Yarrowia lipolytica: one gene and its partner. The protein of the gene in region 1 interacts with the protein of each later gene in a pairwise test. Links are inferred from orthologs where the notes say so. Each region holds a gene or a part of one and is shown on either strand. Other genes may lie near its edges.

What was found.
Region 2: the proteins of YALI1_B05520g (region 1) and YALI1_E03163g interact in binary tests that used the Saccharomyces cerevisiae proteins (3 or more experiments, as listed by UniProt). The link is inferred for Yarrowia lipolytica from reciprocal best matches to the Saccharomyces cerevisiae genes ESF2 and DBP8.

What each region holds. Positions count from the first base shown.
Region 1 is NC_090771.1:550,391-553,745, forward strand, and holds YALI1_B05520g (uncharacterized protein), read right to left. Parts: upstream 1,640-3,355; coding exon 665-1,639; downstream 1-664. Other genes in the region: YALI1_B05522g (uncharacterized protein), read left to right, coding at 1,855-3,355. UniProt on the Saccharomyces cerevisiae protein: Involved in the small subunit (SSU) processome assembly and function, and in the 18S rRNA synthesis. Required for the early cleavages at sites A0, A1 and A2. Stimulates DBP8 RNA helicase ATPase activity.
Region 2 is NC_090774.1:314,686-318,527, reverse strand, and holds YALI1_E03163g (uncharacterized protein), read right to left. Parts: upstream 2,136-3,842; coding exon 807-2,135; downstream 1-806. Other genes in the region: YALI1_E03183g (uncharacterized protein), read left to right, coding at 163-543; YALI1_E03158g (uncharacterized protein), read left to right, coding at 2,464-2,479, 2,553-2,573, 2,634-2,959; YALI1_E03150g (uncharacterized protein), read left to right, coding at 3,325-3,355, 3,449-3,842. UniProt on the Saccharomyces cerevisiae protein: ATP-binding RNA helicase involved in 40S ribosomal subunit biogenesis and is required for the normal formation of 18S rRNAs through pre-rRNA processing at A0, A1 and A2 sites. Required for vegetative growth.

The DNA of each region.
Region 1 (3,355 bases):
AGAACACAGCAGCGAAGATACAGAGTTGCCCATTGTATTTGTCTCGTCGAGAGCTATCAAATCATGTCAAAAAAAGTAGCGTCATTCTCCACCATTGTTCCTTTGATGGTTCTTGCGTGGTGATGGAGCCTTCAGAGGCTCGACAATTGATCGTGTGCGGCTTCTTCAAAAAGATTTAACATTCTGACCTCGTTAGTATAGGTCCTCAAAAAGTGGTAAGCATGAATATATATACTGATTTTTTTGTATCTATTGTACTTGCACTGATTATATAATGCCACAATTTGGATTTTCTCATCCTCTGACTATTATTGAGAGAGATAGGGAGTGTATTGTGCCACCCTCAATACTTATGGGATCCAAGTAAATTCTGAATTTTAGTTGGGATATTACTGCAGATTCGACGGTACAGAAAACAACCATATCATTATATATGTATACAAATATCTACTACCTATTCAGCTGGGCGTAGATGTTGGCAATAGGTGTCCCTCAGTATCCAGTGTCATGCAGCGTACTCGGACTCATATGAGGGATATGATCGAGTGTTGGTAGAAGGAAGGGTCTCATTACCAAAACGAAAAGGCGAGTGTGACACATAATCTTGCCCAATATCCGTGCTCCCCTTTCATGTGTTTCCCATTCGACATTTGAATAAGTTCTATTACATGACACTGCCCAAAATGCTTCCCACGCTTCCATCCAACTCCTTCTTGCCCTCCTTTGCTCTCGCACTGTGGGTCTTGCCCTGGTAAAAGTCTCGATGCACCTTCTTTGCCGGCTTTTCCTCCGTCTCGCCGCCCTCTTCCTCCTGTCTCTGTCGTCGTCGCTCGGCAGCCTTGGACTTCTCCAGCGACTGGATATAGGTCTGGTTCTCTCGGGTGGCCTGGGAGATTTCGGTTCGCAGACGGGCCTGTCGGTTGTGAGTCTCCTGGGCCAGCTGCTCAGAAAGATCGCTCCACTTGAACTTGGGAAGGTATTTGGCGTTCATGATATCGTCGTAATGCTGCGAGCCCTTCTTTCCTCCAATCGTGTTGCCGTTGAGCGTGCTGGCACACGTCTTGGCGTACCGCTTCTTAGTGAACTCAGCCCAGCCCTCAGTGTATGCCAGAGCTCTGTTTCCACCATGTCTGATTCGTACCGCCTGCGCTTTGGGGTCCTCGGGAACCAGGTAGATTCTGTCGACGATTCCGAACCGCTGGAGCAGCATTCGCAGCTTGCCGGGGTCCATGAGCGGCGGAATTCGCGAGAAGTAGACGACACCGGTCTTGGCGATCTTCTTGTTGTGTTTCTCAATCTCCTCCTTGGTCATAGGCTTGGTCTTGGCCTTGGTAGAACTAGTCTTGACGGGCTTCTTCTCTTTCTCCTCCTCCTCCTCCTCTTCATCTTCTTCGTCCTCTTCCTCATCGTCGCCGTCGTCAGTCTTTCCAGCTAGCTCAAAAAAGTCTTTGGTCTTCTTCTTGGAGGTTCGGCCCTTCTCTTCTTCATCCTCGTCTCCATCCTCCTGTTCCTCTTCTCCCTCGCTATCAGAGTCGGCCAGCACAAACCGCGGGTCGACCGCCGGCTTGTCCTCCTCCTCCTCGCTGTCGCTGGAGTTGTTTTTCGTGCTGAAAAAATCCACGGCTTTTGCTCGAGCCATTTGAAAGAGTCGTATACTTGTAGCTGATAGTTGTTCTGGTCGCTGCACGAAAATATATTTCCCACCTGCATTTACTTCCAATCAAGGAACTCAACCCTAACCCCATCTTACCTCATCTAACATCGGATATGAGAGTATCGTAATAGTCATATGCAGATTCTGTGGGGTAACCAGAGTCATATAGAGACGCTATCACCACCCAGAAACCACCGAGCATGAGCCTCCGACTACTGACACGTGTCGTGGTGACACAGAAACAACACTGCGTGTCCTTCCACACTCTACAGCCACAGTCATACACCACCACCAAGGGGCCCTATGAAGATGTGGAGGAGCCCAAGAAACGGCGGAAGCGGACGGTCAAGAGCGACACGGAGCCCAAGAACACTGACCCGACACTCGCCGAGGCACGTAAACAGCGCACCGTGCCCACAGCGGCTCTCAATGAAGAAACACAGTCGACGGGGCCTCCTGGAGGAGAGCCTCCTCGACGTGCGGTGGCGCCGGATATGACGCCCCGGAAGCTGCTGGCCAAGCTCAACCAGTTCATAGTGGGCCAGGACCGGTCCAAGAAGGTGTTTGCGGTGGCGATCTATAACCACTACCTCCGAAGCGGCCTCCTGATTGACGAACGACAATGGAGCGACTACATGAAACGCATCAACGCCGCCAAGGGCAAAATCTCGGACCGCTGGGAAAACACCGACGAACCACAGTCGACAGACTACATCAACGTGCTCAAGGAGGAGTACGATGAGGAGACAGAAAGTCAGGTGATTCCGGACAAGGCCAACTTGCTGGTGGTAGGTCCTTCTGGATCAGGCAAGACAATGATGGCAAAGACTCTGGCAAGTTTTTTGTCGTTGCCAATTTCCATTTCAGACTGCACTGCGCTCACCCAAGCCGGATACGTGGGGGACGACGTTCAATCGTGTGTTCAGCAGCTGTACCAGGTCTGTGGAGGCGATGTAGAGAGGTGTGAGCATGGTATCATCGTTCTGGACGAGATCGATAAACTGGCCAAACGGGAAGGATCTGGAAGAGATGTCTCTGGCGAAGGAGTACAGCAATCGCTGTTGAAAATGCTGGAAGGCACTCTTGTACAGATTTCTGGAACCCCAGGAAGAGCCCAAACCACCGCTGGTCTTCCGGGAGGAGGTTCGGCCATGCCCAAGGAGAGCGTCACAATCAACACGCAGAACATTCTGTTTATTCTCATGGGTGCCTTTGTTGGTTTGAGTGACGTGGTGTCAGCTAGATGCAATACTTCTTCCGATATCGGCTTTGGTGCCCATGTCAGGCAGACTGGTGAGGATGAGGGCAAGCAAAAGGACAGTCAGGACAAGCTGGTGACTCTTGCTAACGGCGAAACCGCCAATGCTCTGGATTTGATCACTTCTGAAGACTTGAAAAAGTATGGTCTCATTCCCGAGTTGCTTGGACGGGCTCCAACGATTGTCAAATTGAATCATCTGACCGAGGAGGATCTATTGCGAATTCTGATTGAGCCCAAGAACGCTCTTGTGGAGCAGTTCCGAGTCAAGTTCAAGTCATTTGGCACCCGTATTGTCTTCACCAAGCCTGCTTTACGCATCATCGCTAAGACTGCGCTTTCCGAAGGTCTGGGAGCTCGGGGTCTGCATGCTGTCATGGAGAAGATTTGTCTCAATGCCAATTATGAGTGTCCTGGAACTAGCACTAAGTACGTGCTGGTCG
Region 2 (3,842 bases), on another chromosome or scaffold:
ACTTTTTCTCCAGCCGTTGATCAGTAAATATCGATGTCGTGCAGTTCATGAAGATGCAGATATGTTGTTGTACATCTCATCTGCAGTTAGATGAATGTTAATTTTTTAGGTGACCAAAATGAATATGCGAATGCATGAATTCTCATCAACACAACGATCAAGATGAACCAACAATGGGACGACAGCCAACTCGTGGCGACCTGGGATAAGGCATACGAGGAATATCTCAAGTACCATAAGAAGAGCACGACGGAAGGTGCAGTGATCAATGAGATGAGAACCGACAAGGAGCAGAAGGAAATGCCAGAAGAGGATGATGATGCGGATATGAACGACACAGCCGACACAGCTAACAAGTTGTTAGAAGCTGCTGAGATATCCAACATTTCTAACGACGAAACCTCAATGGCGAACCCAGGATCCGGATCGGCATCGGCACCCACTGGACCTTCTTTGGATCATCTGGACGAGAGTGTTCGAAGTCTAGTCATGGCTTGGTATTGGGCAGGGTACTACCAGGGATTATATGAAGGTAAGAAGTAGGGGACCTGTATTCATAATTCTATATACAGTGCACTCCACACAGCATATCTAAACTCATTCCGACCCAATGGCACTCCATAAAATTGATTATTTATTGCTTTCTCTCACACTCGTAAGTGTACAAGTATATGTACCGTATCATACAGTAGCTACTTATTACCTACCTACTACTCATATTTGTAACGACAAGTAGTTGAGGATGTCCGCATCGCCATTAGATTCTAATATATTGTAATAAATGCACTTTTTTTTAGATGGATCCTTTATTTCTTGTCAGATTTGCCCTTGGCTACACGCTTGGGCTTTTTGTTCTTGGACTTCATGTCAACGTCCAGTCCTGCCTTCTTTCTCTGGATTCGCTTTCGCTCACCAAAGTTCTCGGCCTCCATGTCCAGAACGGCCTGTCTCTTGGCAGTGGATGCAGGGGTGAGATACTCCTCAACGACCTTGTCGTCTTCGATCAGATCGTACTTCTCCATCTTGGTACCCACTCTCTCTTCGATGTTCGTCACACGAGTTACATCTCGTTCAGTGACAAGAGAGACAGACTGGCCCTTTCGTCCTGCACGGGCAGTTCGACCGACTCTATGAATGTAATCGTCAGCATCTGCTGGAAGGTCAAAGTTGATGACCATCTCCACAGTAGGGATATCAAGACCTCGAGAAGCAACATCAGTGGCCACAAGAACTCGGGCTGCTTGGGCTCGGAATCGTCCTAGAGCGTTGACTCGCTCCTGCTGTCGCATCTCAGAATGAAGAGAGGCAGTCTTAACGTCCAGAGCCATGAGCATTCGTCTCAGGGTCTCTGCAGTCTGAGTTCGGTTGACGAAGATGATGGCAGACTTCTTCTCGTTATCTGGATGAGTGAGGATAGCCCACAGGTAGGCTTCTCGTACGTAACCAGGTAGGAATAGATATGACTGGGTAAGAGTGCTAGGCACGGCAATGTCTGATGCAATCTCGTGGATGAATGGCGGTCCCTTCTCACCGGTTCTGTCCTTCAGAGCTCTAACAGCGTCGGTAACAGTGGCTGTGAACAACAAAGTCTGACGCTTTGAAGGATCGGGGAGAAGGTCCATGCAAGTTTTAAGGTCAGGAACGAAGCCAGGAGTCAGCAGTCGATCAGCCTCATCCATAACTACATATCTAACCCGTCGGAATCCTCGGATGGTATCCTCACCACTGCTTCGAATATGATCAGCCAGACGACCAGGTGTGGCAATGACGAAATGGGGCATCTTTTGAAGTTCCAGACTCTGCTTGACCATATCAACTCCACCGTAGATGAGCGCGACTCGAATGTTCATGTTGGCTCCAAGAGCTGTAAACTGCTCCGCTATCTGGATGGCTAGTTCTCGAGTAGGGGTCAGAACTAGACCAAAAATACCACAGGGATCCTTGGACCATTCAGCCAGCATGGGAGCAGCAAATGCGATAGTCTTACCACTACCAGTTCGAGCTCCTCCAATGCAGTCCTTTCCCTTCATGATCTGGGGGATACAGGCTTTCTGAATAGCGGAAGGCTTGGTGATAGCCATGTTTGAGAGAGACTCATTTAGCCACTCTGGCAAGCCTAGATCGGTGAAAGACATTTTATCAGTGTTGGTAATCGAAGATCTGCTTTTCTGGTTACAAGTTTCAATTTTTTTCCAACGATTATGCTGGTCTAAAGTTTAACTTTTTAAAACAATCGGCTTAGTAAGCATAATTGATGGGGGTAATCGTTGAGATTGAAACTGTGTGCAAGCCTTTTATGTCATGATATATAACGACCAGCAACGGCCATTTTTTATTTACCAGCCTCATATGGTCATTGATGATCTTTAAGTGTGTCGTTTCATAGTGACTTCCTGAAAGTTTCATGCAACCACACTGGACGACTTGAAATCATCATTTCCAACACAACGGCATCACGACACAATGGGTATTACAGAAAGTGAGTACGAACAGAGACATTGATCGGAATACCAATCGCTTCAACACAACAGCGTCATTCATTACTAACTCAGACGAACCCACACCTCTACGATGTGAGTACACACAGATCGAGACAACATCATAGCCACAGCATTGACCATTGACTAACTCAGCCACGGAGGGATGGATCATCATTGTCGACAACCTACATCCAGAAATTAGTGAGGAGGATCTCACAGACTTCTACAGCACATACGGAGATGTCCAGGTAGCCCACGTCAACCTGGATCGAAGAACTGGTTACGCCAAAGGGTATGCTCTCCTCCAGTTTGCCACCAAGGACGATGCCGATACAGCTATTGCAGAGACTAACGGAGTTGAGTTTCTGGAGCACAACCTGGAGGTGTCGTTCGCCTTCCATGAAGCAGACACCTCCATTTCACAACATCGAATTCGTGGATCTGAGAATCGGAGCAGGAGTCCTGGACGAAGACGATAGGGTGAAGGCAATACACGGGGAAACGGCAGCCCTTAAAAATCATGTGTTTGTAAATCTATATTTATACCGATTCTATTAGATCTGTCCGTCTATGGAGACGAGTTGTAGGCGAGATCACGCCGAGGTCAAGGGGTAGCTCGACATAGAAGTCATTAAATAGTTCAGCAACACTGGAGTCTTGCGACATGTATAGCTTTCTGTATCCATAGAAGTGGCGATATCTTTTGAGGAGTTGTATGTTTTCTGCGTCTTCGTTGACGAGTCAACTCACTGCACTGGTTTAGATTCCACCATGCACAAACCCCGAAACCTAGTGTATACAAGTATAGTATGAGTACAGTACTGCAAAACACTGGTTCTCCACAATGTGGGTTTGGAGCCATGGTGAAGCGACTTGTGAGTATTAATGGAGAAGAGGGTGTCACACAAGGCTCTACGTGTCGGCTAAGTCTATCTGGCAGCTTCCCATCACTCAATTCTAACCATCAGACCATCTATTCCCTTCGGAATTCATCATAGGCCGTGATAAGAGTCACGTTCTCAACATGGATGGAAAATCCATCAGCCGGAATCATGTTCAGCTTATCATTGACAAGGACGACTCGAAATGTGAAATTGTCAGCATCAAGAAGCCTCGAATCGACACAGGTGTGTATGTCAACGGACTGCAGCTGAAATCTGAGGAGCGATTCTCGATACACAGAAGCACGACTTACAGGGTTCAAGTGGGGCGAAAGGAGGACTCATATTTCACATTGAAATGGCGACCGCTATCGTTTTCGTACCATGAAGATGAGGAGGAGACACTATTAAATGAGATTATCAAGGGGTCTGATATTAGGATGCAACGATACTTTTCAGAAGACACGACTCATTATGTTAA